4 linked regions of the Lonchura striata genome follow. The protein of the gene in region 4 interacts with the protein of the main gene of each other region in a pairwise test. Links are inferred from orthologs where the notes say so. Each region holds a gene or a part of one and is shown on either strand. Other genes may lie near its edges.

The links.
Region 1: the proteins of IKBKG (region 4) and EEF1A1 interact in a two-hybrid assay, tested with the Homo sapiens proteins (2 studies listed by BioGRID and IntAct, with this or other methods). The link is inferred for Lonchura striata from reciprocal best matches to the Homo sapiens genes IKBKG and EEF1A1.
Region 2: the proteins of IKBKG (region 4) and TANK interact in binary tests that used the Homo sapiens proteins (3 or more experiments, as listed by UniProt). The link is inferred for Lonchura striata from reciprocal best matches to the Homo sapiens genes IKBKG and TANK.
Region 3: the proteins of IKBKG (region 4) and EPAS1 interact in a two-hybrid assay, tested with the Homo sapiens proteins (2 studies listed by BioGRID, with this or other methods). The link is inferred for Lonchura striata from reciprocal best matches to the Homo sapiens genes IKBKG and EPAS1.

Annotation. Positions count from the first base shown.
Region 1 is NC_134605.1:83,911,958-83,919,333, forward strand, and holds the start of EEF1A1 (elongation factor 1-alpha 1), read left to right. Parts: upstream 1-4,374; 5' UTR 4,375-4,493; intron 4,494-5,198; 5' UTR 5,199-5,245; coding exon 5,246-5,389; intron 5,390-6,222; coding exon 6,223-6,402; intron 6,403-6,538; coding exon 6,539-6,835; intron 6,836-7,091; coding exon 7,092-7,242; intron 7,243-7,376. UniProt on the Homo sapiens protein: Translation elongation factor that catalyzes the GTP-dependent binding of aminoacyl-tRNA (aa-tRNA) to the A-site of ribosomes during the elongation phase of protein synthesis.
Region 2 is NC_134610.1:16,853,521-16,860,809, reverse strand, and holds the start of TANK (TRAF family member-associated NF-kappa-B activator), read right to left. Parts: upstream 3,011-7,289; 5' UTR 2,907-3,010; intron 1-2,906.
Region 3 is NC_134605.1:16,709,108-16,717,027, reverse strand, and holds the start of EPAS1 (endothelial PAS domain-containing protein 1), read right to left. Parts: upstream 3,010-7,920; 5' UTR 2,972-3,009; coding exon 2,925-2,971; intron 1-2,924.
Region 4 is NC_134638.1:2,064,536-2,072,258, reverse strand, and holds the start of IKBKG (NF-kappa-B essential modulator), read right to left. Parts: upstream 3,017-7,723; coding exon 2,902-3,016; intron 623-2,901; coding exon 565-622; intron 421-564; coding exon 141-420; intron 1-140. Other genes in the region: G6PD (glucose-6-phosphate 1-dehydrogenase), read left to right, coding at 3,346-3,400, 5,331-5,479, 7,434-7,471. UniProt on the Homo sapiens protein: Regulatory subunit of the IKK core complex which phosphorylates inhibitors of NF-kappa-B thus leading to the dissociation of the inhibitor/NF-kappa-B complex and ultimately the degradation of the inhibitor.

The sequences.
Region 1 (7,376 bases), on a different chromosome or scaffold from region 4:
AACTCTGCAGAACTCCACAGAACAGCACATGGGGTTTAAATACAGCTGCTAGTTCTGGTCACATCCCAGCATGATCTGACCACTCTGCCTGATCCCAAACCTTCGGTATCACAGTTCAGCCAGTACTAAACCTTCAATATAAATGAGCTTTCTCGTGCTGTGGATAATGTGGTTTGAAAAGACTGTCCAAAGGATTTTTTTTTTTTTTTAAAGCAGGCTATCCTCCAAGCCAGTACTCCATCACCTGTTATAAATGCTGTAACTATAATGGCAGTGCTTCCTAGAGGAAACTTCTTTCATGAGCAACAATGACTTTTAAAGAGGCTCTTGTTAAGCTATTCAGAAGACTCTGCAATTGTCACTGCGTGTTCATCCCAGTGATACTCGCAAGAGTTTTGAAGTCCACTGTGTTATACCTCCTACTGTAAGACCTTCTTTTGTGAATCTATAAGCAAGGTCAGCTATGAGATCAGACAAGATGACTTTAATTAGTCCAAGTCTTAAACTTCCAAGGATGGAAGAGTTTAATTTATACTGTCTACTAAGACAATAACTTAAACTGTATTTACTGTTGTCTCTTTCTTTTAACAAGCAATTTTGTTTATATAAAAATGCCAGCTACTTGTACAGAGCTAAGTAATTTTCAAAAATAGTGTTTTTCTATTAGTATAGATCACCTCACCCTGTTCAGTTAAACCTTTTCTTTAGGCAGGTTTTCTGTCTACTCTTTTCATATATGAATAACACCATTATTCTATTGTTCTCTTATTTCATAAGCAGATGATTGTAAAAACTGGTTGTAAGTATTAAGATCATGTATGAAAAAGGGTTTTGTAACAGGTGTAGGTGCTTTTTATTGCTGTTAGGAATCAATGCATTAAAGAACACTTATAGATGGAAGTAAGGCTGTATGCTCACGCTATAGTTTATATTGAACTTTGGACAAATGTACGTACCAGGATAATTATAATATAGGGATTAGAAAACCTTTCACAGTAAGTATGAGGCTAACTGTATAACAGAATGGTGCTGTGTATTAGAATCCAGTTTTGCTGATCACCAATTACTACTATTGGTAACTTTGGACTGCTTTTCCACCACTTCCTGAAAGTGCCCTCAAGAAATCTTAGTGCCTCTTTCATATATAGTGAGCTTGATATACTCAATTTATCAGATCTGCTTCAAGTCTTGCACATAAAAAGTCTGTTTGCTCATACTCCTGAATGACTTTGGTCATTGCAATTAAAATGGTTGTATAAGCCTAACTTACCTGCATCTTTGCACAGGAATCTGACCAAAAAAAATACCCATGTGCATATGGTAGAATTGAAATTCTTTAGAGATGCTCAGTGAGCACATCTTTTATCTCCTAGCATGATTTCACTGGCTGTGAATATGTTCTAAGCTTACAGCCCATTCTGTATGTGCTGGAGCCACATGCTAAATGGAAGTAATGCTTCAGTAGCTACTATGAACTCAAAATCCAGATGACATATACTTTTTAAAGCTGAAACTTTTGGCCTAGATTTTTTTGGCTTAGACTTTTATTTTAATATCATGTGACCTGAGATTCAAAACCCTTTTAAAATGGTGGTTTCCTTCAATACACATGCTTTAGAGCATTCTCTGTGTTCTTACACTGGAGACATATGTAAACATAGGATATTTCAGTTTAGCATATGCTCACCAGTGATCAAAGGAGAATGTCCTCCTAGTTCTGATGTCAGTATTGAATAAGCCCTATTTAAATGGCTAAATATCCTTGACTTCTTGAAATGTCTTATCTTTGTTCCTTCCTAAATGTTACATATTAAAGTGATTAGTTTTACCAAATTAATACAATCTAAAATTTTTATAGGCTGTTGCAAACAGGATTTAGTCCAGTGTAGGGCTATTTGTGTTAGCTGAGAGGATTCTTCAGAATGCATTTCCACTGTATTGTCTGAGGCTACTCATATATCAGAAGGTCCCCAGCTGTATAAATATTTTTGAGATTGATAATAGGAATGTTCTTCTAATGGAGTGGGCAAGAAAAGATACACTAATTGTTGAGAGAATAAAAACATGTATTGGTCAAACTAAAGAGGAAATAATAGAATTATTTTGAAAACTCATTTAAAGAAGTGGAGGGGGAAAATAACTGCTGTAGATTTAAACTAGGACTATGTTTAAAAATTTGTACCACAAATTCAGCTTTCATAGCTTTTCAGCTATATAGATACTGCCTTAGAGAAGAAATACCTGAAATTACTTCCTTAAGAAACACCTGATTCTAAGAGCCTTTATGAAATTATCTTCTAAGAACAGTAGCTTTAAAAAAATTAGAAATATGCAGTTTAGTATGGACCATATAAGAATTTAGTAACATATTTCCTTCCTCATGTTCCTGTTCAGGCACAAATAATTGACTGCATTTGGGAAGTGTTAAAACTACCTTTTTATGAAAATGGTTTCTTTGACAGATCAGTCCATTAAAAACACCCCCCCTCCCCCACTGAAATACACATTTGAGAAGGTAACTTCAAACCATATTGAAGAATAAAGCTTTTTAACTGTGTTTACAGTCTTTGCTTTATAGAAGACCCTAAAAAACTGTTTCCTAGCTTTCTTGCTAAATATTATATTTTGGTCTTCAAACCAAGCCACTCACAAGAATGCACTTCCATTTCCAGAAAGCAGATCACCTTCCTTTTCCTGCTCTTTTCCTATGTCTTCATATGCGGTGTCTTCACTAGTAACTGGCCCTGAAGGTTAATTTTGAGGAAAGCTGCACCATTTCTATATTCCCTCCCCCACTACTACTAATCTCTGCTGAAAAACATAAGAAGGGGTGAGAGAGAATTTGTTTTTTTCCTTTCTTAAAAAAAAAGTGTTTAATATCTGAACCCTTTTTCAGATATTGAACACTTTTATTATCTGAAATGCTTGTTTTTGTAAAAGGTGTACTCTAAACTCAGCATGCTCTCTAATGACATTTTGTTGTTTTGTTTTTTTTTACAAAATGCATCTTTTTAATTTTTCATGTGGGAAAAATACCTTATCTTATGGAAACACTTCCATATCAAAGCATGATATCCAAGTTTAGTGCTCTCTAATGAATTTGATGCTGGGTTTATCTCAGAGAAACTTGAAGTTAAGTGGAAGGGTACATTTGTAGATGCATGAGGTAGTTTTTTTATTAGTTTGCTGATGTTTTCTTTTTTGTTTGTTTTTGAACAAGAAGCTGTTTCCATGCTATACAACTGCACCCTGAAGAGCATAACAAGAAATGGATGATAGTTGTCTATAGATAAGTAACTATTTCTGACAGGCATATAATGTAGCTGAATAAGAAGATGGACTACATAGCTTTGCAGATAATTTAAAAATAACAGAGACAGTTCAGCTATTCATTTTAATTTCTCTTGGATGGGTATAGGAGATGTTGAATATTTAATGATTTTTCTTATATCAGTTACAGGCGACTAAACCAGAAAAAAAAAATCTACTGGAATCACGAGGGCCTTTATTTCTGATGTTGTGAGCTGTTTTGTGACTCCTCATTGCCACGATTCTAAAAATAATTTGCCAGGGCTGCCGGTTTTCCCATGTGAAAATACAGTATGGGGGCAGTTTCTGCAGTCAGGGTTTCTTGCACAGAGAACCCCTGTCCTGAATACTTCCGTGACTGATCCATTTGCACTTCAGACGCATCTTTACTGATAGTGCGTCTGCCTTGATTTGTATTTTTTGTGCCGAAGTTTCCTAAGACGAGTCAACTTTCGTCCTCTAACGGTAAAACAAAACCAGAAAAATATTTTTCATTTTTTTTTAAGCCAAACGATGGCTTCTTATTCCGGTGTGATAAGCTTCCAGAAATTCCTGCTCTTCCCCTCCTTCTCCACGTTTGATTCTGCGAGACTTGCAACGTACGGGGGTAGGGGGAGTTTCGCGATGTTCAGCCGGCATTTGTTACTTGCCGGTCAGGGTAACTCACTGAATTTCTAATCTCGCTGATTGCGTTCCTTTGTGCCCCCAATGCGAAATACAATTAACTCGCCGGGGCTGCTCCCCAGGGACTTTCGTCCCTCGGGCCCGGCCTGACGCGGCCGTAGCCCGGGCCCGAGCGCTGGGCCCTGCAGGGGCCGGGGCTGCTCGGTGCTGCCCCGCTTCCTTCCGGGCAGGCGGCATCCCGCCCGCGCTCCATCCCAGCGCCACAGGGACACGGCTCCCTTCCCGGCGGAGCCCTCGGCACAGCGCCGGGCCCGGGTCCCGCTCGGGGCCGGGGTCCCGCTCGGGCCGGGCGGGTCCCGCTCGGGCCCGGGTCCCGCTCGGGCCGGGCCGGGGTCCCGCTCGGGCCCGGCGGGGGCGGGCCGCTCCGTGCCCGGGCGGGGCCGCGGGGCCGCCGGGAGCGGTGACGTGTCCCGAGACCCCGCCCCCCGGCAGGCTATATAAGGGGCGGAGCTCACGCCGTCGGTCTTTTTCGCTCCGGGTTTGCCGCCGTCGCCGAGCAGGTGAGGCGCGTCCGCCGGGCCGGGCCGGGCCGGGGTCCGCTCGCCCCGGAGGCCCGGCGAGCGCTGGGCCGGGGCGTGCAGGGGGCCGAGGGGAGGGAGGGGCCGGGGGTGCCGGCGGGAACCGAGGCGGACGGGCGGGCAAGGGAGCGCGGGGCGGAGGGATGGCGGCGCATCGTTCTGCTCGATTACCATGTGCACACCCCCGTTGTCCGCGCTGAGGGCGGCGGAGCGGCGTGCCCGGGCGGGCGTGGGGCAGGAGGCGCCCGGCAGCCTCCCCTTGCGCCCCGCGGGCGGCGGCGCGGGGCCGTGCCGGGCGGGGCGGCGGGGCCGCCGGCGGGAGGGGGCCGGGGCACGAGTGCAAAAATGGCCGCTCGCCTCGCCGCCCGCCGCCAGCGCCACAAAATGGAGGACGCGGCGGCCCGGGCGGGGTGAGTCACACAAAGGAGCGGGGCGGCCCCGCCCTCCGGCTGCCCGCCGGGCCCGCTCGCCGCCGCCCCGCGCCCCCGCCGCCGCCGGGGTAACTCGAGCCCGGGGAGGGGGCGACGCGAGGGGCGCTCCGAGGGGCCGCGGCCCGCCCGCCTCGCTCCTCCCCTCCCCCGGCGGGGCGGGGCCGCCATCCCGGCCCGGCCGCCCGCGTGCGGCTCCGCCATCGCTGCCCCGAGGCCCGGCCCGAGGCGTAACCAGCTTCTTCTCGGGAACCTGCAGGTGTCGATTCTCTTTTGCCGAAAGAAAGAACTCAGCTAACATCCAAAATGGGAAAGGAGAAGACCCACATCAACATCGTCGTCATCGGCCACGTCGATTCTGGCAAGTCCACCACCACCGGCCACCTCATCTACAAATGTGGGGGCATCGACAAGAGGACCATCGAGAAGTTCGAGAAGGAAGCGGCTGAGGTGGGTGGGCGCATAGCAGCCAGCAAAATTCTGGGCTGCAGGAATGACTAGCCCCTTAATTGAAAAGTGAACCTGCAAAGCCTTCAGTGGCCACGGGGAGGCGGTTCGGTTGCCTCTGCCCCAAGAGCTGAACAAGTGGGTCAGTGTTGCGTGGCCACAGGGCGGCAGCTGCGTTGCAGTTGTCCCCGAGGTAGAACAAGTGTTGTAAGTGTTCCATCTGCCCTTGTGTTAATTGCAGAAACTCAGGTTGTGAAGTGTAAAGCAAGTCAAGAGAAGGTAGTCTAAAGCTACATCTGAATAGTAACATCTCGAATCAGGTTAAATGGCCAGATACAAACTACATAGAAGGATAGTTGATAAAAGTCTTAATTTAAAAATCTGGGAGTTTTACTGATACTGTTCTTTTTCTGTGTAATAACAGCACAGGTCATAAGAACATAGAATAAAATTTGACAAATGTTTATCAGAGTGGAAATTAAGGTGTTGATTATTGCAAGGATTGAAGTAGTAGGAGGACTTAAAATTGTAGAAGATACCTGATAGTAGGACTCAGGCTCAAGAGCTCTATCATAAAGATGCTTTAGTGAAATTAACAAGCTGCCAAGGAGTCTGAACTGTCAGCAAGTTCAATAAGATTCAACAGTTGGCATCTCTCACCAGTAGTGCTAAGCGTATCTTGTTGCTGTTTTTATGAGCAGCAGCGTTTTTCAGTGTTAAGCCAGTTACTATTAATAGATTTTGCTCTTCAGTCAGTGTGATCTTTCTGAACTAGTTGCAGATACAAAACCCCTTCTTTTTAATGGTAATAAAAATGGGTTTTTTTCTGACTGTAGATGGGCAAAGGTTCCTTCAAATATGCCTGGGTCTTGGACAAGCTGAAGGCTGAACGTGAGCGTGGTATTACTATTGATATTTCTCTGTGGAAATTTGAAACAAGCAAATACTACGTCACCATCATTGATGCTCCTGGACACAGAGACTTCATTAAAAACATGATTACTGGAACTTCTCAGGTATGTAAAGAAAGTACGATTTGGGGGGTTCTGGAACGTTGTTCCTTGGTTGCTTAGGGGGCGGTTCCTGTATTACTTTGGCATACACGCAAGCATTATAGTGAGGTTGTTTTTTCTTTTTTTTTTTTTTTCAAAGGCTGATTGTGCTGTCCTGATTGTTGCTGCTGGTGTTGGTGAGTTTGAGGCTGGTATTTCCAAGAATGGGCAGACCCGTGAGCATGCCCTTCTGGCCTACACCCTGGGTGTAAAACAGCTGATTGTTGGTGTCAACAAGATGGATTCCACTGAGCCACCCTACAGCCAGAAGAGATATGAAGAGATTGTCAAAGAAGTCAGCACCTACATCAAGAAGATTGGCTACAACCCAGACACTGTGGCTTTTGTGCCAATTTCTGGTTGGAATGGTGACAACATGCTGGAGCCTAGCTCTAACGTAGGTTTGACATTTATTTCTGTTAAGGCATGAAACTAGGAAGACTGTTAAGTCCAATTATGCAATGATAAAACGCACATTTTGTAATAGTTATGTTTGGGAAGTGCTAAAGTTCAAGATAAATCTTAGCAGTTACAAAAGTTCTTACTCTGCAGCAGTAAATTGAAATGATGCTAAGGGATGCTGCTTGGGCTTTTTCAGGCTTGGCACCATTAAATTTGGCAGTCGGATTAACCTGGGTTTGTTTGCATTACAGATGCCCTGGTTCAAGGGATGGAAGATCACCCGTAAGGATGGCAGTGCCAGTGGAACCACCCTCCTTGAAGCCCTGGACTGCATCCTGCCACCAACTCGTCCAACTGACAAACCTCTGCGTCTGCCTCTTCAGGATGTCTACAAAATTGGTGGTATGTGTTCTCTGGAATGCTGCTCACGTGCCAGCAGCAGCAGCTCTTTTCCAAGTCAAAAATTAGAATTCTTGTCTCGAGTGGGGTTTTTTCCCCATAAGGGCATATATTTACTAAGCTGAATAATAAATAAT
Region 2 (7,289 bases), on a different chromosome or scaffold from region 4:
TTGTTAGTACCACAGGCTACTTCATCCATCTCCTTCCTCCCCCAAACAGTATCCCTTCAATAAACAGAATATTCATGCTCATATCTAGGGCATATCTTTAATGAAATGGGTAGGCTTTCTTTCCTTTTCAGATGAAGGACTGTTCTGTGTAATTCAATTAATAAAATAAGGTATCTGCCTTGAGGGACAGGTGCTAAACTGCAGAGGGCATTGTTATAGCTGAAAGTGACTGGAAGTGTGTTCTCACAATCTTTAAAAGCTCGTGAAGTTTGCATCAGTATTGATTTTGTACTCTTCTGAAATCCTCCACTGTTAACAACTTACCTAGTAAATGGCATGTCCTATACATATGAGATAACTTCAAAAAATGAGTGCAATGGGATCTAAGAAACTATGTTCAGCTTCTAATGGAGAGAAGAGGGATCAGCTCCATGTGACTCACAGTTCACAGAAAATGAAAGTTTTTATTTCATTCATGCAAACTCAAACCTCTATTTGAGCAACAATATTTAAAACTTATACCTAATTTCCAGCCTTTTAGTCATTCATTGTGACTGGGAACATTAACAAAGAGCGCTGCTGTCATTTGTACTGATGGTATCAAAAGTAATTGATCCAACAGGCAGAACTATAGCACAGTGCCTGATTTTCTACTTGGTATGGAAAAATAACTTACTGGTAGCTCCCTAAACTTCAGACTCCATGCAAAGAAAGGTCACTGAAAGTCACTACTAGTGACACTTTAAGATGGCATTTTAACTAGAAGAATTGGTCCTATATTCACCCCATACCCTAGATATTCTTCTTTGACCTTACCCTTCCCTTTCTTCCAGCATGAGAAACCTTTCTGTAAACTGTATCAGTAAACCAATGTAGTTTAAAACTAAATACTGAATATATTTTTTCCACATTAATTTTAATGCAGGTCAGATCCACAGACCACTTCAAATGGCACGATAACACAAGGAAGCCTGTACAGGGACAGAACTCAGCAATAGGCACACAGAACTCCTGTGCTCAACAGCAGCACTGGCTTTGAATTGTAACACAAAGTCAGAGTTGTGTAACAGTGTCACAAGTCTGCACTGAGCAGGATAGGCCAGCTTTTCCCATCTCTGGCCATGCATTTTTGCTGCTTACTGATACCGCTAGCAGTACTTCTATGCTACACAGTTGAGTATACCAAAGTAGCTCCCTACGTCCTCAAAAAAGCAACAACAAACCCCCTAAAAAAACCAATCTCAAAATTAAAACTGGAGCTAGCTCACTGCAAGGCTGCTGGAGCACTACTACCAGCACAAGGAGGCAGTGGGAACATGCGACTAGCCGTGGGCAGGACTGCCGCAGTCTAGATTTAGATTGGATTAAACTACTCTGTAGTCACACCCCGGGTTGCCTGCTGCTGGAATAAATAACTGCTTCTTATGTTATCTGTCTCGTATCCAGAACTCCTTGCAGTTAGAAAAACTGGCTCATTTTCCTGCTTCTCCTCCATAGGCATCAATATTTATCAGGGAATTTGCCAACTGTTCCTTGTCATTTACCCTTCTCCCTGCATCCAATGAGGAGGAAAAAACTCCCTCCCAACAGCCCTAAAAAAACCCCCCAAAAACCAACAAACCAAAAAACCCCAACCCAAATACCCCTGCTATTTAAATTAGTTATGATTAGTTATGCTGTACCTAAATTGCAGCTGGAACATAATTCAGCTCAAAGCTGACAATCCTGATCTTTAACAGGGACAGAATTAAAGGAAGAGATTAGTTATAGAGGTTGTTCTGAAAGTCTGAACACCTGTGAGTGCTATGCTGCTGGAGCTATGGCAATGACAAGTGGAATTTCATATTTGAGTAAAGACTTGTATACTGGATAATCACTGGGTACAGCTAATGTTGTAAAACAAACTTCTAAGTAAACAACAAATGAAACCTGCAGTTTATATTAAAATACTTGCTTAAAATCAGAAACATTTTGCTGATATAGGTAGTGGGAAGAAAAGGAGTAGTAATATGCATTTTCTTAGTCAAATGCCAAAAAAGCTCCAACACAAAGATTAGCAACATGTTTCTGCTGCAATCCCAGCTCACAGCTCACTAGTTTTCATACTAGTTTTCATACCGCCTCAAAAACCACCTTAAATTATGAAAGGTTTTAGCTAATCATGTGTATATGCACATTAATTCATAATACACTTTCCTATCTCCCATAGTTTCATGAGAGATGAGAACACAGGTGCCACCCAACCACAAGTACTCTACATATTTCTGCTCTCAAAACAGAATTTTCGATTGCTATATTTTCTAAGTTACACTGCCATCATCTCGGGAACTGGAAGTCTGTTGAGTTAATCATTTGTGAGATACTGAGAGCTCATTGAACTTTTTTGTGTTTTGTTTTTTCCCTTGTTTTTTTCTGAGTAGACACAATTCCTGCTTTGCCCGACGGCGGATGCGTCGTTAACACAGCAGGAGCCCCTCGTGGCACGGCAGCAGCGTTAGAGCTGGGCAGCCGCCGTGCGCTCAGGGCTCGGGACGGCGATTCCCGGGGCGCTGGGCTCCGCTCCCCCCGCCGCGCCGCCGCTGCCCGCGGGGGCAGCCGCCTCTTCCTGCTCCTGCGCTCGCCCGCCCGGGCCATCGCCTCCCGGCAGCGAGCCCGCTGATCCCGTCCCCCGATTCCCCGCTCCCGGAGCGCCTCCGCTCGCGAACGACGCGGCCCCGGCCCCGCTCCCGAGCCGGGCCGAGCGGGAAGCGGCAGCCCCGGGAGCGGGGGGCGGAAGCGCGGCCCGGCAGCCCCGGTCGGGATGCCCGGCTCGGGATGCCCTGGTGCGCCGTGCGGCCCCGGGCCGAGCGCCGCCGCTCCCGCGGGAGCGCCAGGAGCGCGTGGTTTCCAAAACGACTCAGACTTACGAGCGCCTCACGGAGCCCGCGGCCGCTCCCGGCAAGGGCGCTCGCTCCTGCCCGGGCGCCTTAACCCAGGAACCAGAAGCGACTTCCTGCCGTGCCTCTCCCCGCCCTGTGACGGGGCGCTGCCCGCGCCGGCCCCGGGTCGGGGCAGGGCAGGGCGGCGGCCGCCGGAGGTGCCGGGTTCGCGCGGGGACGGCGCCGTCCTTGTCCGCCCCGCGCGAGGATGGGAGCCGGTCCGCTCGCCTCTGCTGTCGGGCAGTGCCTCTTCTGCCTGGCTGCGGAAGACCGCTCAAGCAGCCTCTGTGCTGCTCCCGAAGTCCACAGCACTTTCCTATTTCTGTCTTTCCATGACTTAAGAGTGATTTGTAAATAACAGTAGTTACATTTGTATATAAAAGTATATTTACTTTTCATGCTCAGGGTAGTTCTCTCTGTTGTAGGTTACTACTGAGGCATTTCCCTGCCTGCGTTTATTTAATGTAGGCAATGAATACTATAGGTAAGATGATAGTGGAAACATACGGTTTTAATTTTGCTACTGCTACAAGCCCTTCTCTCTTTAGGTCACGTGTATAAATACAGCTTTTTTTTCCCTGAAGGTGTGTAGGAGGATGGGAGAACACGAGGCATTTGTACATACTTGCCCAGTATACCATCACAGAGCCAGCGGCAGAGAAGCACTGCAGATTTTCATTTAATCTCATCTGTCTCTGAACCCCAGTGAACATATGCATGCAGCCGAGCTGTGGTGTTTCTTCTAGGGCAGAGCTTTTTGGTTTGTTCACTCATGGATCAGAACTTGCATTCCACCTATTACAGCCTACCTACTACCCTGGGCAGCTGCCCTTGGAATCCTGAGGATTGAGCTCAAACATCGCCACAGAAATAGCTAGCTGTTGCTTTCTGTGCTCTTTTGAAGATTATTTATATTATAATTTATCTTTCCTGCAGAGACTTCAGCTTCTCTTTTGGTCTGTTTTGGCCTGTACTAAGGCTAAAGAGACTTACAGGCAGAGAGGTGAATGAGCCTATCAATATACTTCCTGTTTGGCCATTTTTAAGAACTTAAGGTGAGGTCCTAATGAATTATTAAGATTCAGAGAGAGTTTGCTCTTTTAACGTATTTCCAAGAAAGGGGAATTCAATTTCCTTTTTCAGAGACAGTGCTTGAGACGTCCAAGTTAAGGTTTCATTCAACGGGGTCTTAAAAAATAAATTAGGGTGTGGGCAAAAAAGGCTATTGTTTCTCTTTTAATTCTACATGTTACATTTTTAGTCAGTTTTGGCAAGTAGTTGTGCACTTAAAATTATAATGGATATCTCAGCTGAAACATAACCTGAATTTCTTAAATTCAGATGCAATATAATTTAACTTATGCTATATTTAAGAAGGGATAATATGCAGAAAAGCACAAGTGGGTGTTGTCTGGTGGTTAAGCATGCCTCAACTAAAATTATGGCTACCTGAATTCAAATAGCCAGAACATGTATACCACCTCTGAAATACTACCATTGCATGTTAGTTGTTTTAGGGGAAAAAATTGCTTATTTAATTCTTGGAACGTACTTAATGTAAATTTACTGTGAAGATCTCAATCTCAGCAACTCAATACTGACAACTGTCTACACACATGACTTTTCAAAGAACATGCATTAATGTCTTAGTGCTTTATCAGTAATATTCTTTCACAGTAATATTCTTTCTCATGGGAGAAGCTGGTTTTTCCTCTCTTTTCATTATTTAGTGCCTTCTTTCTTTAGATTTCTTCCCCCAATACAATAAGGTATATTTTACAACCTTTAAAGTAATCCATCTTGATAATCCTAGAGACCTCCAACCTTTGAATAAACTAAATTGAAGAAAAGAAAAATACCCATGAAAATAGTACAAAACCTCTATTTCATAGCTAAATTGATCTCTGATCTTTTAGAGTATTTTCTGCTTTGCTCAATTACTAAATTACTTTATGTCCTTTTCTTCTTAATCTTGCTTTCTTTTTCTTTGTTTTTTTACTTTCTCCTCTTTTGTCTCTGTGTTCCCTTCCCTACAGCTTTTCCAGGAACAGCTTTCTGTATTTCTACCCCACATCAATCTTTCACACTTTTATGTCATTGTCAAGGCATGATTGTTTTCCTGTATGTAGTCCACATAAGACAGCTGAAAGAAGAAGCACTTATCAGTGTATATAAAAATTATTTAGGATTTTAGGAATCTAGTTATCTTAAAAGCAGTTGCAAATCACTTATCTGGGCTTTGGGAGTGGTGGTGCAGGGCTTTCTGTTTTTAATATTTTATTTTACTTTGTGTTCAGAGTCAGAGAAAGTCTTACTTTGACTACTTATGTTTAGAAATTTAGAGTGGGGTGTTTTTTTGTTCTTGGTAGGGGATTTTGTTTGGATTTTTTTTGTTTGTTTTTTTTTTTTTTTCTTGGTGATTGGGAACTAGCAAGTTGATACTTTTTTTATTGTGAAAATTCAAGTTTGTGCTCAGTGGGTCAATCAGTGTATTTAAATACTTACATCATCTATATACAGTTTGCTTTTTTACATTACTTCTGAAATGGTATTTTAACAGTCTGTGCTGATGAGTTAACACTGTGCTCTTGGTTACACTGCGTGGGGCCCGGGGAGGAACTCACTGCTTTCGGGAGAGGCTGCTGCTGGAGCAGCTGGCAAAGGGCTGGAGTTCATCAAAGGTTTCATCTGATTCCTTTTTATGATTCTCTAAGCTTATAAATGCAAATTGGCTTCTACTAGAAAGAGGTTAAAATGTTTGTTGCAAGTTTTTAATGTAGCCATTCGTTCAGACGCTAGGTGGCTCACGTCAGATGTTAAACCTTTTCCAGAACTTTGAGACTGTGGTCCCAAAGGAGTGTGCGGGGTGCTGGAAGTCTCTGTTGCTCTGGGGTGTTTCACCGTTCTTTTAGTCTCTTGCTGCTTTAACAAAATAAAAAGCATGTTTTGATCTTGAAATGCCTTTCCTGGTCAGAAAATGAGAACTGTGGATTTAGACCAAATGTTGTCGTTTCATAGCGTGAAGGAAGTTGAGGCTGATTATTTTTTTCCCAACATCAAGAATAATAGTTGATGAGCCTATGTAAACCTTAGTATGTAATTTACCTATAGGTTGTAACAGACAAAATTAGTTTGTGGGTACCAGAAACTAAAGGATATTTAATCAAAATGCAGACAGATAGATTTGGAGCACTATAAACAACATAAAAGTAATGTCTTATACTTTTTCGATGTGTCTGAATGCTGAAGTTGATAAATCTAATTTTACTCATTAGAAAAGTGTAGGAACAAAAAGTTTGGATTTGCTTGTCTCATCTCTTTGGTAACAGTATAGGCAATCTTTATGTTGCCTGGAGGAGTATCAACAGGATTATGAAATGTGGTTTTGTGCTTATGACTAATATTAGCTGGGAACTTCCACTGAGAAATACCCAACTGAAGAACTTCCTTAAATGCAACAGCGTGCAGACAGTCATTCTTTGAAACAGAGACTTTAGCAGAGGCAGCCTGCAAACTGGTTTTGGACCCAGTGCAACATTTTTTATTTCTGTAAGTGATGTCAATGGTTTCTGGAAGATCCCTACCCTGGAGAAAGGCTAACCTGCATAAAAAAGGAGCAGTGCATGAACAGGCAACCCTGTATGCATGGGAATGGTTAACATACAACTGTTGGAACAAATAGAATACATACTTTTTAATATATTGTGAGGAAAAAACCTGTGATGATAATGACACCAAAAGAAACTACAACAGCTTTAGAAAACAAATGTTATTCCTCTGTATAGAATATAACCTGTGTTACATATAGAGGGAGTAAAAGACAAGGAGTGTAATGCTTCTTTGAGAAGAATAGCCAATCCACTGATTCTTAGTTAAGCTTCAAATGAACTTTATTAGACAGGCTCTTAAGCTCTGTTTTATTCTAATTGTGTCTCTCCCCACTTCCCCTCAAACTACTGAAATTGAGTTCTGTAGAACAATGTGGGGAAAACACCCTTGAAAAATTCATGTTCTAGCTTGAGTGCCTTTTTGCCATAGAGGCAAGTATTCGGGAAATTTAACATATAGTCATTAATTCCCTAGATCTGTCAATGTGAAAAAGTGAGATATTATGGTATCAACTACATTACATAGGTCTTTTTCCTTTGTTCCATGCTAAAATTTAATTAATTGATAGCTCATTTGTATAGAACTATATTATATACAATATCTAATATAAGAAAACAGGATTGATAAACAGAACCTTTGTACTATTTATTAAATGTTTTTTGATCCCAAGCCTCTATTTAGGTTTTCAGTGTGGAGTAAGAGTGGAAGAAATCAATGTATTTGAATTGAAAATGTATTTGAATTGAAATATTTAATTTCTGG
Region 3 (7,920 bases), on a different chromosome or scaffold from region 4:
AAAGCTCCATCAGCTAAAGTACATAAAGTGAGGTTTAAAAGAGTGTAAGAACAAACCCAAGTTGGCAAGAGAATGGACAAGATCATCGGTCACCAACAGCACAGGCAATAGGGAGCATACCTGGAAGTAGTGACACACAGAAAATGTCCTGGGGAGAACAAAACAGACTGTATGTTTCTTGAAATCTCCAGTTTAACACCTTGGCACATCCAAATGCTCACATTTCCTGACATCCAAATTATATCCATTACAAGCAATTAACTACCTGAGCTCTGGAGAGCTGTGCCATCAGGACAGTTTCCTCATCCTGAGGAGGAACAGCCAAGAGTGACTTCAGCTTGGCAAAACTACTCTCCTGAAGGAAAAGGTCAGCAAAAATTGAGGCACAAAGCATCTCATTAGAGGGGCTCAACATCAAATAAAGCCCAAAGTAAAAGGGTAAATGAAAGCAGTCTATTACCTAGACAATAACTGGGGGCAATCCCATTTCTTTACTATCTGGGCCAGAAAAAGTTAAATGGATTTTTGTAATGTTATATGGTTATGGTCACAAAATATATTGTGCAATTACATGGGGACCACTAGCACACCCTGAGCTGCAAAATTGGTTTATTTTTCATAAAACTGGAAAACAAACACAGAATTCCCAAGTACCAACACAACTGAAAAGGTGAAGCCAAATAATGCATCCTTCTCAGTGGTACTTGGGGCTTGTCCTGAGCCTGGTTTCAAACTTTTCTCAAATAGACACTGCTGTCTATCCAGAGCTGTTCATTTAACACAGCAGCCAGTCCTAACAAAATAACTGTCTTGAAAATCACTAAAAAACACGACAAGATATTGTATCAGGCTACTCTAATTACATTGGGACTTACCTACTACTTGTCATTGTACTGCACAGCTGTACAGATCAGACACTTTTCCCTTTGCTTTTACTATTTGCTAAAATGTGTTATGCCCTTTTATTTCTCCTTCTCCCAGTTCCTAATTACTGGCATTCTAAGAGAGGATCTAATACTGTCTAGATAATTTTTTTAAATCAAAAGAGCAATCATATTAATCTCAACTCTGGATCTTGGACTAACTTTAAAGGTGGGAAATCAGCCTACTGAAAGTGCCATAACATTTGTTCTAAATAAAGCAACTGCTCTTTTCTGCTGGCAAACAGAGCTTCAAATGAGGACCTGAGGATGTTCTTCAACTTAAACGGACCATTAAATGAATCATTATTAAATGAAGATTATCCTACTTAGAACATCTGTTTGACAGTAAGAGAACTGCTCCTCAACATAGTTTCAGAGCTGCCTGGAAATCTGGTAACATCATCCCACCTTTTCTCCATGAAAGTGATTTATAAATGCTATTCGCAATTTGGGCTGCTGTGTCTTATCTATTCTGTTCCGGAAAATATAGCAAACAATATACTAACTGTCAAACTCAAGGCAATAAAACTACTCTATAATAGTACAGGAAAATGAAGAAAGCAAAACTATCTTGTTTTAGCGAGCAACATAGAGTACATCCTCAGTGGGGATATCCACAGCACACTGACAGGGAGGCACAAGCCAGCTATCTGAAGTCCCTCATATGACACTCTCCCAATTCTTCCACAAACATTATTTTACGCAACAATCCCATGAACCAGATAACAATTAGCCTACTTCTGAGAGAAACAGAAAAATTGTCACTGAATGTCACAATATTCAAAAGCAGTGACAGAGTCAGGATCAGGGTTCAGACTTCAGTCCTCTGAAGCCTGTGTAGTATCTGAAGAGTATTTCCCCAAACCACTTCAGTCTGCTGTCCTGCAAGATTAGACACTGCTCAATCCCTTACTCTGCTTGAAAGAGGTTAAAACTGAAGAGATTAAAGAGTGCCCCATTAAAAAGAGGTAATACAATGAATGCAGTGCATTTCCAAGATATACACTATTTCATCCTCTTGCTTCATAAACTAACACATTTTTAACTACATTGTACTGTACAATAATTTTTACTTTTACAACATAAGACACAAAATGTACGTATATTTTTACTCTTCACTCTATCTAAAACAAAATACACTTGAAGCAACTGTTTAACTGTTTAACCTTAGTTTCCAGTAAACTGAGGAAAACAAAACTAGAGGGAAAAGGAATGATTTACACCACTACACCTCCCCTATTATATTGTCATAGGGTGACTCAATAAAAAAGGAGCTATTACACAAACAAAAACCCAGGGTTTAAAGTTTACTGCATGGTCAACTGGATAGTACGCACGACAAATTAGCAACATAAAATTCTTAGTCTATAATCCACATCTCTATAGAGAATCTATAGCCAGAACCTGTGCCGATAATCAACGGATCCTTGTAACTGCCTGCTGTATGAAACAGACTGCATCCATATCCTTTCACAGGATTTCACAGACCTTTATTCACTTGCTTAGTTTTCCCCATGCCCGTGCCCTCTCTCATCCATAGGAATTGTTTATAACTTTGGAGCAATAAGTAGATAATTCTTCTCTTAATCTCCACCTGTAACTTCTGTGTTATGGACCGCTGACTTTTATTTTGACGTTTGTTCTCAAGAACCAACTCTTCGATGAACTACAAAACCACCAGTGCGTTACTTTGATTCCCGCTGGAAGGGTCGCTCCGGCAGTGTGGGAATGTCTAGCCTGACATCCCTCTCGAAGGGCAGCAGCAAACGAGGCGCTGGGCGCTCCTGGAGCTCTCGACCCTCCGGGAAAACCCGCTGGCAGCCGAGGAGCTCCGCGAACCGCGGGAGATGCACCGCGGCCAGCGTCTCAGACTGGAGCGAGGAGGTGGCGAAATATTTACACAGCCTGTCAGTTTCACCCACGCGACTTTGATTATAAACCACGTTTTGCCAAGAGTGCTGCTACCTTCAAAACCCCCGTCCTCGAGTGAAAAACAGTTACCTACTACCTCTGTCCTCGCTGGTACCAAGCCGTGCCATGGCGTACATGACGTTGGCCGCACACCGGCTGGCTGGCCCTGCCTGCCAGGTGCACCTGCCCGCCGCCCGGCTCGGCCGGGGGCCGCCTTCCCCGGGCCGCGGCCGGGCGCGCTGCCGGCCGCGGTGCCGCCCGGCGGGGGCAGCTCCCCGGGCAGCGCTCCCAGCCCAGACGGAGCGCGGGTTACCGCAAGGGGTGCCGCGCTGCGCCCCTGGCCCTCTCCCCGCCCGGGCTGGGCGAACTAACTCAGTCCCGCCGCACTCGGGGGGAGGCGAGGCCGTCCCGTCCCGCCGGCGGTGCCCCCTCGGGCAGCGCCCCCTCGGCGCCTGCCCGCGGGGAGTCCCGCGGCCGCAGGAGGACGCAGCGGCCCGAGCAGCGCGGCGCCTCGCCCGCGGCCCCTCACCTTTTCTTCTCCTTGTCAGCTGTCATCGCGGCGGCTGCTGCCGGCTCCTGCGCCGCCTCTCGGGCCGGGGCGCGCTCAGCACCTGCCCGCGGGACGCGGGGCTCCGCGGGCGAGGAGCGGGGTCCGGTTCGACCGGGTCGCCCCCGAGGCGGGCGTACAGTCTCAGGACACTGCCGAGGATTGTACGGCCCGCCCGGGGGAGGCGGCGGTAGCGGCGGCTGCTGCGGCGGGACAGGAGCGACGCGGCGGCGGGGCTGTACAGCTCGGCGCCGCCCGCAGAAAGTTCTCACTTTAAACCTTGGGCAGCCGCCGGCCGCGGGGGCAGGGCCGGCCCCTCCGCCCGGGACCCGGCCCGCACGGCCCGGCCCCGCCGCGCCGCCGCGCCGGCCAATGGGGGCCCGCGGGGCGCCCCGGGCTCCCCGCCCCCGGCACCGGCCCGGCCGGGGGTCAGCGGGGCCGCTCCGCCCCGCCGGACCGCTCCGGCTGCGGCGGGGCTCCCGCGCACGGGCACCCACCCCTCCGCCGCTTATTTTTTAGTTATTTAAGTTTTTCGTTATTAAACTTAATTTTTTTTTTTTTTTTTTTTTTTTCCCCGCCGTGGTGTCTCCCCGCCGGTGCGGTCCGAGGGCCGCCGCGACACCTGCCCGGCGGCCGCGGAGCAGCTGCGGTGCTGCCCCGGCACCGAGCGCTGCTCCGGCAAGCGGGGAGCTGCCCCGCACTCGCCCCCTGGAGCGCCCCCCGTTCAGCCCGAGGCATGGGTGTCGAAAAAATAAATTGAATATTACGAAAATAAAAGCCACAAGGACGGTGCGGGCTTGGAGCGACGCCCCGGAGCCATCGCGGGCGTGCGGGGCCGCCCTCGGCCCGGCTCGCACACGGAGGAGCGGGAGTGTGGCAGCAGCTGGGGGCAGAGGGATGTGCAAGGAAGCAAGGGCTGTTCTTTTACCTCCCTGATGGGACTTCCTTCCTCTCCCTGTTTTTTCGATTTTATTTTCTGTGTCATAATGGATATTTCAATTCAGGCACTTTTAAAACTCGTGGTTGATGACACATGGTGGAGCGAGTCTGTGGCAAGAAGCGCCGAAGCTCATCTCGTGCTAGCACCTGCTATAGCTTGCTGGAGTTAAGATAAATGTAAATAATAAAAAAAACCCTCTTGCTTTGAGCTCTGTTTATTTTACACCAAAGCCACTAACCTTCCTAGACAAGGGATTATGAAAAATTTTCCTGATATTGTCTTTCAGCATAGCAGAAACTTCAGCTTATCCTCATGTTCTCTACATTTTTATATCTTGAACCAAATGCACACCTTTGTATTAGGCTCCACAAGGTTTTCTTCTAGAAAATGGAAGTATTGTAGGCAACATGAGACTAACAGGACTTATTTCTTGCTAATACAAATTTGAGCCATTTCCCTATGTCATTTCAGAGGCTCGTTTGTATACAATGGGTCAGAGGGTGTTTTCCTTTTCTTTTATATTGTATGAAAGTTTAAAGAAATGCATTTGGGTTTGAATTTGCATATTCTGCTCTCAAGTCTGAAAAGAGCTACACATGCTTACACAGCAACAGCCTAATTATGTGGTAACAGTTGGGTTTTTTTTCTTGTATAACAAGAGAACCTAAACAAAAGAAAGCCACAAATATTTAAAACCTAAGTAAACTTAGTCAAACAGAATTTGTGTATGCAGGACTAAATTTAACCTTCTGGGAATATGAGAATGCAACAGGATCAAAGACCCAAGTCACTCATTTCCTAGATTAAATAGACCTCTTCATCCTTCATTGATCTCTGCTGATGTCAATGCTCCTTGCTGTATCTTAAAACACTTCACTTGGATAAACAAGTTGCCTTCAAAAATCAGACAAGAAAAGCATTCAAACTGACTAAATCTAAACCACTCAGTAAATTTTAAGTATTTCACATCTAGCTCATTGGCCAGACTCCTGTTGGCTCAGCCTACATGGATACAGTGTAGTTGATTAACAGTGTAAATCTCTCATTCTCTGGGCCAGCAGGGCCTGAAGGTTCTTTGGGAGAATTTGGGAGAATTCACATCTGAGCACCACTTAAGAACCACCACCTGTCCTGTCCTCCCCTGCACAGACAGGTTGGTGGGCTTCAGCACAGGTCAGTGCCCAGAAAAACAGGAATCTTTCTGCTGCATCAGGAAGGTGAAGCAAGCAAGATTGAGTGATTCTTACAGCTCCCTCACAGCTTCAGTTCTTGAAGTTGTCTATACTATTATTTCTGGCAAATGAGCTCCCCATCTTGAACATGAAGGAAAAAAAAAAAAGGCCTGTCTTCTAGAGCTTTAGTTATTAATTCATTCTCTTTCCCAGGACTGTTCAGGGAGGGGAAGATCAAATGTATCTTTAATACCACTGTCAATTTACTAGACGCATTCTGTGGTGATAAGGGATCCCACAGCACATTTGGGAAGGCTTGCTGGGGTTTCTCCTTGCTGGATAACAGTGGAGAGAATCACATAATTGTATTTCCAAATGCATCTTGTTAGTATTTTAATTTCCTTTATGATGAGTCAGTATTTATTAACAGCAGTACCCAGCATAACATGGACTTTCTCTAACCTTATACTACTCAGAAAATTCGATAGGAACTACGCCATTAGTGAGCACATTTATTTTACAAATCTGCTCTATTTAACCACAGAAGATACAGCTGCCAGAAAAGCCAAACAAAGCCTTAAACTGACAGCAAACATACTTTGTTCTGTTGATTGCTATCAGCACTGTAAAGGCTCTTTCCATTTCATATTCCAATGTTACTCCTTACATTTTACCTTGCATTTGCTACGTTTTACACTTTGCTTAGTAGATATAACTCAGATAAAATCTCATGGAAGAGGATAAAGTCTTCGGGGAACTTCATGAACTGAACTTAACAGGGGTTAACTCCTCTTTTTCCTCCCCTCATCAAAGATTTCAGCAGAATCAGCATACCAGATGGGACTTCTTTACTTTTACTGGCTAGAGAAAATACAAGCTGCTGTGTCTTAGAGAAGATGACACACGTTCTTCCTATGTGAATTATTCTAGAGATGCTATAGGAACACAAAGTTTTTAATTTCTAAAAGCAGCCTTCAGGTGATGAATTTGAGAAGTCATTGATATCTGTCTTGTTATCAGTTGGGTTCTTGAAGGGTCCTTCAAGTCTAGAGGGGACCAGTTTATGTCAGCTGTGTCTGGACTAAACTCTGGGGAAAAGAGAGACTTACAAAAAAACCCGGTGGTGTGAGAGCAACTTTCACAGCCCACACTGAAGTTTAAACCGCATTGACAAGCTAGGAAATCTGCACAGGGTAGTGACAGGGCTCCTGGTGCTCATGGGGAACACCCCATCACCCAAACAAGATGCTGGCCGACTCCTGATTAATGCCATTTATTCTGAAACACACCAGTGATTTAGGACCAGTTATGCTGCATTGTTTTTTTCCAAGGATGTGCATATGTATGTAATCAGCCATCCAAATCAGCACTTACTCCGGTTTGAATGCGCATAGCCATCATCAGCCAAGTCAAAGCACTTCTAGTACTCCGGTTTATGTATGCATGCTACTGGCACTGCACTGACTGAAGCGTGTTGGTAAAACAGAAGTTTGACGCTGCTCAGCAATTAATGCTCCAGAGTAGTCAGAAGAAAACATGGATACTCTATCTCTTGCAGGGGAAGCATAATTTTTAAAATTAAAAGCAGCTCTTAAATTATTGAGAGGATAAAGTGTTTTAGCTTCATTGATAATCTCTGTCTGATTTATTTCTTTTTCTGGCTCCTCAATATTGCAAATTCAAAAAATTGATTATTGTAATAACAAATAATGACATTATGGGAAAGGAATGGGAGAAAAGAGAGCCCTGTTATTCAACACAGCTGATGCTTTGGAGGAAGGAGACAGCATTCTTCGCTTACTCATACCAGAGTAAGTTAAAGCCACAGAATATTTATTAAGCACAATAGCAAGTGATATAGTAAAATTTCAAACTTCAGGTTGATTTGTTAGCAGGGAAAAAGGGATCCCTATGAAATACAGATAGAATACAGAAGATCTACAAGAGAAAGCAGGGACTACTTGAGTGGAAATATAAAAAAAATGCCTGAACCATGGGGGGAAATAGTAGTAATAATAATAATAATAATAATAATAATAATAATAATAATAATAATAATAATAAAACAGGACACATAGATTGCCCCTAAACATAAACAGATATTAAGAATATCTACAGCAGCACTGCCCATTGCCCTATGCCAAAACCAATACACAATCTCTATGATATCCTGAACTGGCCAGTCTAAAATGTAGTTTTGAGGGAATGAGACATTAAGATGTTTTTGAGAGCTTCCAAATACTGAGTGCACACCTTCAAGCAAGGCTTACAGATAAGCCCCAGCATTTTGAGGCATTGATTACTTACAGACACATTCCAGGCGTTTTAGCCTTCACACTCTCATATGATGGCCAAAAAGTTGGGAATGTACCTGTAAATATCAAAAGGCTTAAAATTACTCTGCTTATCTCTCTGCCTTTTTCAAAA
Region 4 (7,723 bases):
GTGGGGGCACCCCAGGGGGACACTGGGGACATCAGGGGGACATTGGGGACATCAGGGGCACCCCACAGGAGCTGGGGGGCCAGCGAGGGGACACGGGGAGGGGACACAGGAAGGGGACACGAGGAGGGGGACACACACACCTCAGTGCTGGCGTCAGGGCTGCTCCTGCAGATGTCCCCAGGATCCCTGAGAGTGTCCCTGAGGGTGTCCCTGATGTCCCCAGCAGTGTCCTTGGTGTCCGTGAGGATGTCCCTGATGTCCCCGGGGGTGTCCCTGATGTCCCCGGGGGTGTCCTTGGTGTCCCCAGGGGTGTCCTTGGTGTCCCTGATGCCTCCAGCGGTGTCCCCGGCGGTGTCCCCCACGTCCCCGGCGGTGTCCCCGACGTCCCCGGGGGTGTCCCCGACGTCCCCGGGGGTGTCCCTGCCGTCCCCGGGGGTGTCGGGGGTGTCCTCAGGGCTGTCCCCGGGGGTGTCCCCGCGCTGTCCCCGCAGGTGCAGCACCAGCTCGCGGGCCTGTCCCCAACGTCCCCAGAGCAGCTCCCGCTCGCCCCGGCGCTGCTGCTGCAGCTTCCGCAGCTCCTCCAGGCGCTGCCGCAGCGACTGCGTGCAGTGACACAGGGCACCTGGGGACAGGGACAGTGACACAGGGACAGCAGTAACACAGGGCACCTGGGGACAGGGACAGTGACACAGGGACAGTGACACAGGGACAGTGACACAGGGACAGCAGTGACACAGGGCACCTGGGGACAGGGACAGTGACACAGAGACAGCAGTGACACAGGGACAGTGACACAGGGACAGTGACACAGGGACAGTAACACAAGGCACCTGGGGACAGGGACACAGGGACAGTGACACAGGGCACCTGGGGACAGGGACACAGGGACAGTGACACAGGGCACGTGGGGACAGGGACAGGGACAGTGACACAGGGACAGTGACACAGGGACAGTGACACAGGGACAGCAGTGACACAGGGCACCTGGGGACAGGGACAGGGACAGCAGTGACACACAGGGACACAGTGACACACAGGGACAGCAGAGACACAGGGCTCCTGGGGACAGGGACAGTGACACAGGGCACCTGGGGACAGTGACAGGGACAGCAGTGACACAGGGACAGTGACACAGGGCACCTGGGGACAGGGACAGGGACACAGGGCACCTGGGGACAGTGACAGGGACAGCAGTGACACAGGGACACAGTGACACAGGGCACCTGGGGACAGGGACAGTGACACAGGGACAGTGACACAGGGACAGCAGTGACACAGGGCACCTGGGGACAGGGACATTGACACAGGGCACCTGGGGACAGGGACAGTGACACAGGGACAGTGACACAGGGCACCTGGGGACAGGGACAGTGACACAGGGCTCCTGGGGACAGGGACAGTGACACAGGGACAGTGACACAGGGACAGCAGTGACACAGGGCACCTGGGGACAGGGACAGCGACAGTGACACAGGGACACAGGGCTCCTGGGGACAGGGACAGTGACACAGGGACAGTGACACAGGGCACCTGGGGACAGGGACAGTGACACAGGGACAGTGACACAGGGCACCTGGGGACAGGGACAGTGACACAGGGCTCCTGGGGACAGGGACAGCGACAGTGACACAGGGACACAGGGCTCCTGGGGACAGGGACAGTGACACAGGGACACAGGGCTCCTGGGGACAGGGACAGTGACACAGGGACAGTGACACAGGGCACCTGGGGACAGGGACAGTGACACAGGGACAGTGACACAGGGCACCTGGGGACAGGGACAGTGACACAGGGCTCCTGGGGACAGGGACAGTGACACAGGGACAGTGACACAGGTACAGTAACACAGGGACAGTAACACAGGGCACCTGGGGACAGTGACAGGGACAGCAGTGACACACAGGGACAGCAGAGACACACAGGGACAGCAGAGACACAGGGCTCCTGGGGACAGCAGTGGGGACAGCAGTGACACTGGGGACATTGGGGGCATGAGGGACATTGGGGACTGGGGACACTGGGGGCACTAGGGACACTGGGGACACTGGGGGGACTGGGGACACTGGGATGCTGGGGGCATATTTGGGACATTGGGGGGACTGGGGACATTGGGGACATTGGGATGTTGGGGGCATATTTGGGACATTGGGGACTGGGGACACTGGGGGGACTGGGGACATTGGGATGCTGGGGGGACATTGAAGGAAACTGGGGATTTTGGGGGGACTGGGGACATTTGGGACATTGAGATGTTGGGGGGACACTGGGGACTGGGGACATTGGAGGGATTGGGGACATTGGGGTCATCAAGGAGAACTGGGGACATCGGGAACTGGGGACACTGGGGGGGCTGGGGACACTGGGGGGGACATTGGAGGTGCTGAGGGGACATTGGGATGTTGGGGGGACATTGGGATGTTGGGGGGACATTGGGGACACCGGGGACTGGGGATTGGGGACACTGGGGAAATGGGGGGGACATTGGAGGTGCTGAGGGCATCGGGGACACTGGGGGGGACTGGGGACATTGGGGACATTGGGGGGACATTTGGGACATTGGGGACTGGGGACACTGGAGGGGACATTTAAGGTGCTGAGGGTATCGGGGACATTGGGGACGGGGGGAACATTGGAGGTGCTGAGGGGACATTGGGATGTTGGGGGGACATTGGGGGGACACTGGAGGTGCTGAGGGGACATCGGGGAACATTGGGGACATTGCGGACTGGGGACATTGGGACATTGGGGGGACATTGGGGGGACCCTGGGGACGGGGGGGACCCTGGAGGTGCTGAGGGGACTCGGGGGACACTGGGGACACCCCAGTGGGGACACGGGGACACCTCTGGGGACCCCCGCCGTGCCCCCCCATGGTCCCTCCCGGCCCGGCCCGGCTCTCACCCCTCAGCTCGCGGTTCTCCGCCCTCAGCCGCTGCAGCGCCTCCGCCAGCGCCGGCTCCGCCTCGGGCCCCGGCTGCACCATCTCTGCGGGCCGCCGCCAGCGCCCGCCGCTCATCGGCGGCTCCCGGGCGCGCTTCGGGGCCGAGTTCGGGGATTTTTTTTTTTTGGGCCGAATTCGGGGATTTTTGGGATCCCGGCGGCTCCGGCGGCGGCGCCGCCGCCACTTCCTGCTTCCGCCGAGAGCGCGTGACGTCACCGCGCCCCGCCGCGCTTCCGCCTCGGTCGATGTCGTGGCGGCGCCATAGCAACGCCGAGGGCGGAGGGCGCCGATTGGTTACGCCTCCGCGCGTAGCCCCGCCCTCCCTCGGCGATGATTGGTTGAGGCTGGAGAAAGCTCGGCGGTGATTGGTGGGTAAGGGGACAGGGCGTGGCCTCTGTGAAGGGATGGGGACCCGCGCGAGCGTGAGGGAGGCGGCGCGAGCGCGGCCGGAGCGGGAAGGTGCGGGGGGAAATAATGGGGAAATAATGGGGAAATAATGGGGAAATGTGGGGAAATTCGGGAAGACGTGAGGGGATCTGGGCTCTGGGATAATCCGGGGGGTCCATGGAGGCCTGGAGGGGAGCGTCGGGGGGAACCTGAGGGGGAACGTGAGGGGCTTTAGGGCGGAAATGGGGGAGTTTGGGGTCTGTGAGGGATCTGAGGGAAATTCGGGGTCTGAGGGGGATTTGGGGGGGGTTTGGGGGGAAGTGAGGGCGGAAATTGGGAGTCTGGGGGTGTCCAGGGGTCCGTGGGGGGATTGAGAGGAAGCTAATGGGGGGAGAAGGCGGAAATTGGGGAAATTTGGGGATCTGGGGGGGATGGGGAGGGGGTTAGGAGGGGGATGGGGGGCTGAGGGCGGAAATGGGGGGGATTTGGGGGATCTGGGGGGTCCAGGGGGGAGATTTGGGGTTCGAGGGGTCAGTGGGGGTTCGGGGGATTTGGGGGTCCTGGGGGGGAAATTTGGGGGAACTGGGGCGGATTTGGGGGGGACAATGGGGGGAGGGCGTGTCCTGCCCCACCCATCCCCAAAACCCCACCCCGGGTGCCCAAACCCGCCCCAAAACCTCCCAAACCCACCCCAAAACCCCCAAATCCCATCCCCAGGTGCCCAAACCCGCCCCAAACCACCCCAGCCCTGCCCCCCAGGTGCCCAAACCCACCCCAAAACCCCCAAATCCCATCCCCACATCCCCAAACCTGCCCCAAAACCTCCCAAACCCACCCCAAAACCCCCAAATCCACCCCAAAACCCCCAAATCCCATCTCCCGGATGCCCAAATCCACCCCTAAAGCTCCAAATCCCATCCCCAGGTGCCCAAACCCTCCCCAAAACCCCCAAGTCCCATCTCCACATCCCCAAACCCGCCCCTAAACCTCCCAGATCTCATCCCGGGGTGCCCAAACCTGCCCCAAAACCTCCCAAACCCGTCCCTAATGCTCCAAATCCCATCCCCAGGTGCCCAAACCCACCCCTAAACCTCCCAAACCCTCCCCAAACCCCCCAAATCCCATCCCCACATCCCCAAACCCACCCCTAAACCTCCCAAACCCGCCCCAAACCCCCCAAACCCCATCCCCAGGTACCCAAACCCGCCCCAAACCCCCCAAACCCCATCCCCAGGTACCCAAACCCACCCAAAACCCCCAAATCCCATCCCCCGGGTGCCTAAATCCACCCCAAACCCCATCCCCAGGTACCCAAACCCCCCAAACCCCGTCCCCAGGTGCCTAAATCCACCCCAAACCCCATCCCCAGGTACCCAAACCCACCCCAAACCCCCCAAACCCCATCCCCAGGTGCCCCATCCCACCCCAACCCCCCCAAACCCCATCCCCAGGTGCCCCATCCCACCCCAAACCCCCCAAACCCCATTCCCAGGTACCCAAACCCACCCAAAACCCCCAAACCCCATCCCAAGGTACCCAAACCCCCCAAACCCACCCCTAAACCTCCCAAACCCACCCAAACCCCCCAAACCCCGTCCCCAGGTACCCAAACCCACCCCCAAACTCCCCAAACCCCATCCCCAGGTACCCAAACCCCCCAAACCCACCCCTAAACCTCCCAAACCCACCCAAACCCCTCAAACCCCCCAAACCCCCCAAACCCCATCCCCAGGTGCCCCATCCCACCCCAAACCCCCCAAACCCCATCCCCAGGTGCCCCATCCCACCCCCCCAAGTGCCAGCTGTGCCCCCCAAGTGCCCACCCGTCCCTCCGGCTGCCCTTTCCTGCCCCGCAACCGCTCAAATCTTGTTCTGGGCTGGCCGAACCTGTTCCTCTGCTCCCCAAATCCCTGCCCGGGGTGGCCGAACCTGCCCCCCGAGTGCCCGGTCCGGCCCCCCGAGTGCCCGGTCCGGCCCCCCGAGTGCCCGGTCCGGCCCCCAGGAGCGATGCCGGGCTCGGCTGAGGCGGCGCCGGCCGCCGGGGGGGAGCTGAGCCGCTCGCAGGTGTGCGGGATGCTCCGGCAGGAGCTGAGCCGGGACGGAGCCTTCCTCCAGGGCCACCCGCACGTCCTCGTCATCCTCGGCGCCTCCGTGAGTGGCCACGGGGCAGAGCAGGGCTTTGGGGGGGTTAGGGGCAGGAATTCGGGGTTTGGGGGGGTTAGGGGCAGGAATTCGGGGTTTGGGGGGCTTAGGGGCAGGAATTTGGGGGTTTGGGGGGGTTAGGGGCAGGAATTCGGGGTTTGGGGGGGTTAGGGGCAGGAATTCGGGGGTTTGGGGGGGTTAGAGGCAGGAATTCGGGGTCTGGGGGGGTTAGGGGCAGGAATTCGGGGTTTGGAGGCAGGAATTTGGGGGTTTGGGGGGGATAGGGGCAGGAATTCGGGGTTTGGGGGGGTGTTAGGGGAAGGAATTCGGGGTTTGGGGGGCTTAGGGGCAGGAATTTGGGGGTCTGAGGGGGTTATGGGCAGGAATTCGGGGTTTGGGGGGGATAGGGGCAGGAATTTGGGGTCTGGGGGGGATAGGGGCAGGAATTTGGGGGTCTGAGGGGGTTAGGGGCAGGAATTTGGGGGTTTGGGGGCAGGAATTTGGGGCTTTGGGGGGGTTAGGGGCAGGAATTCAGGGTTTGGGGGGGTTAGGGGCAGGAATTTGGGGGTCTGAGGGGGTTAGGGGCAGGAATTCGGGGGTTTGGGGTGGTTAGGGGCAGGAATTCGGGGGTTTGAGGGGGATAGGGGCAGGAATTTGGGGGTTTGGGGGGGTTAGGGGCAGGAATTTGGGGGTTTGGGGGGGTTAGGGGCAGGAATTTGGGGGTCTGAGGGGGTTAGGGGCAGGAATTCGGGGGTTTGGGGGGGTTATGGGCAGGAATTTGGGGGTCTGAGGGGGTTATGGACAGGAATTTGGGGGTTTGGGGGCAGGAATTCGGGGCTTTGGGGGGGTTAGGGGCAGGAATTCGGGGTTTGGGGGGGTTAGGGGCAGGAATTCGAGGGTTGGGGACAATTGAAGGGGCTATGGGGCAGAAATTTGGGGGTTTGGGGGGGAAATGAGGGGGTATGGGGAAGAGATTCAGGATTTGGGGGGGTTAGGGGCAGAAATTTGGTGTTCAGGGGGAGGAATTGAGGAGCTAAGGGGCAGAATTCGGGGTCTGGGGGGGAATTGGGGGGGTTGGGGACAGAAATTTGGGGGTTGGGGGGGTTAAAGGGAATTGGGGGGATAAAGGGAATTGGGGGAGGAATTGAGGGGGTTGGGGGGAAATTGGGGGGCCGGAGGAGCAAAAAAGTGGGAAGCAAATCTGGGGGGAAGTGGAAGGATATCGAGAGGTGGAAGAAAAATTTGGGGGCAATAAAGGGATTTAGGAGATTTGGGGAGAAATAAAGGAGATTGGGGGGTTGAGGAGGAAGTTAAAAGGGTTTGGGGGGATTTTGGGGGGCCTTGGGGCAAACTGAAGGGGGTTCAGAGGAATTGGGGGAATTTGGGGGGATTTGGGGTTATTTGGGAGGTATTTGGGGGGATTTGGAGGGATTTGGGGTTATTTGGGGGGATTTGGGGTTATTTGGGGGGGATTTGGGGTTATTTGGGGGGATTTGGGGTTATTTGGGGGGGATTTGGGGGGGATTTGGGAGGGATTTGGGGTTATTTGGGGGGATTTGGGGTTATTTGGGGGGATTTGGGGTTATTTGGGGGGATTTGGGGTTCTTTGGGGGGATTTGGGGTTATTTGGGGGATGGGGGAGGGGCGGCCACCCGCTGCCTCCGGGGGAGGGCGTGGAGGGGTGGGGGAGGGGAGGGGAAGAAGTTGGGGTGCCCCACCCCCCCACCCCCTCCTGGTCAGCCCTCGGGGCCGGGGCGGGGCCGCCCCTCCCCCACCCGCACCCCAACTTCCTCCTCCGCCCCTCCCCCACCCCGTTACCCAACACCTCCAATTAAACAAGGGGGGGGAGGGGCGGCGGCGCTGACTCAGCACATTCCGGGGTGGGGGAGGGGCCGGGGCCCCGCCCTGCGCTGGCCTCGCCCCTCCCCCACCCCTGAACGACCCCTCCCCCTCCCCCCCACAGGGTGACCTGGCCAGGAAGAAGATTTACCCCACGATCTGGTGAGGGGACACCTGGGGACACCTGGGGACAGCAGGGACATCGAGGGGACAGCAGGGGACATCAGGGACACCTGGGGACAGGGGCACCGAGGGGACACCTGGGGACAGCAAGGACACAAGGGGACACCTGGGGACACTTGGGGACATCGAGAGGACATCTGGGGACAGCAGGGACGTCTGGGGACAGCAGGGACACCTGGGGACACCTGGGGACAGCAGGGACACAAGAGGACACCTGGGGACACTTGGGGA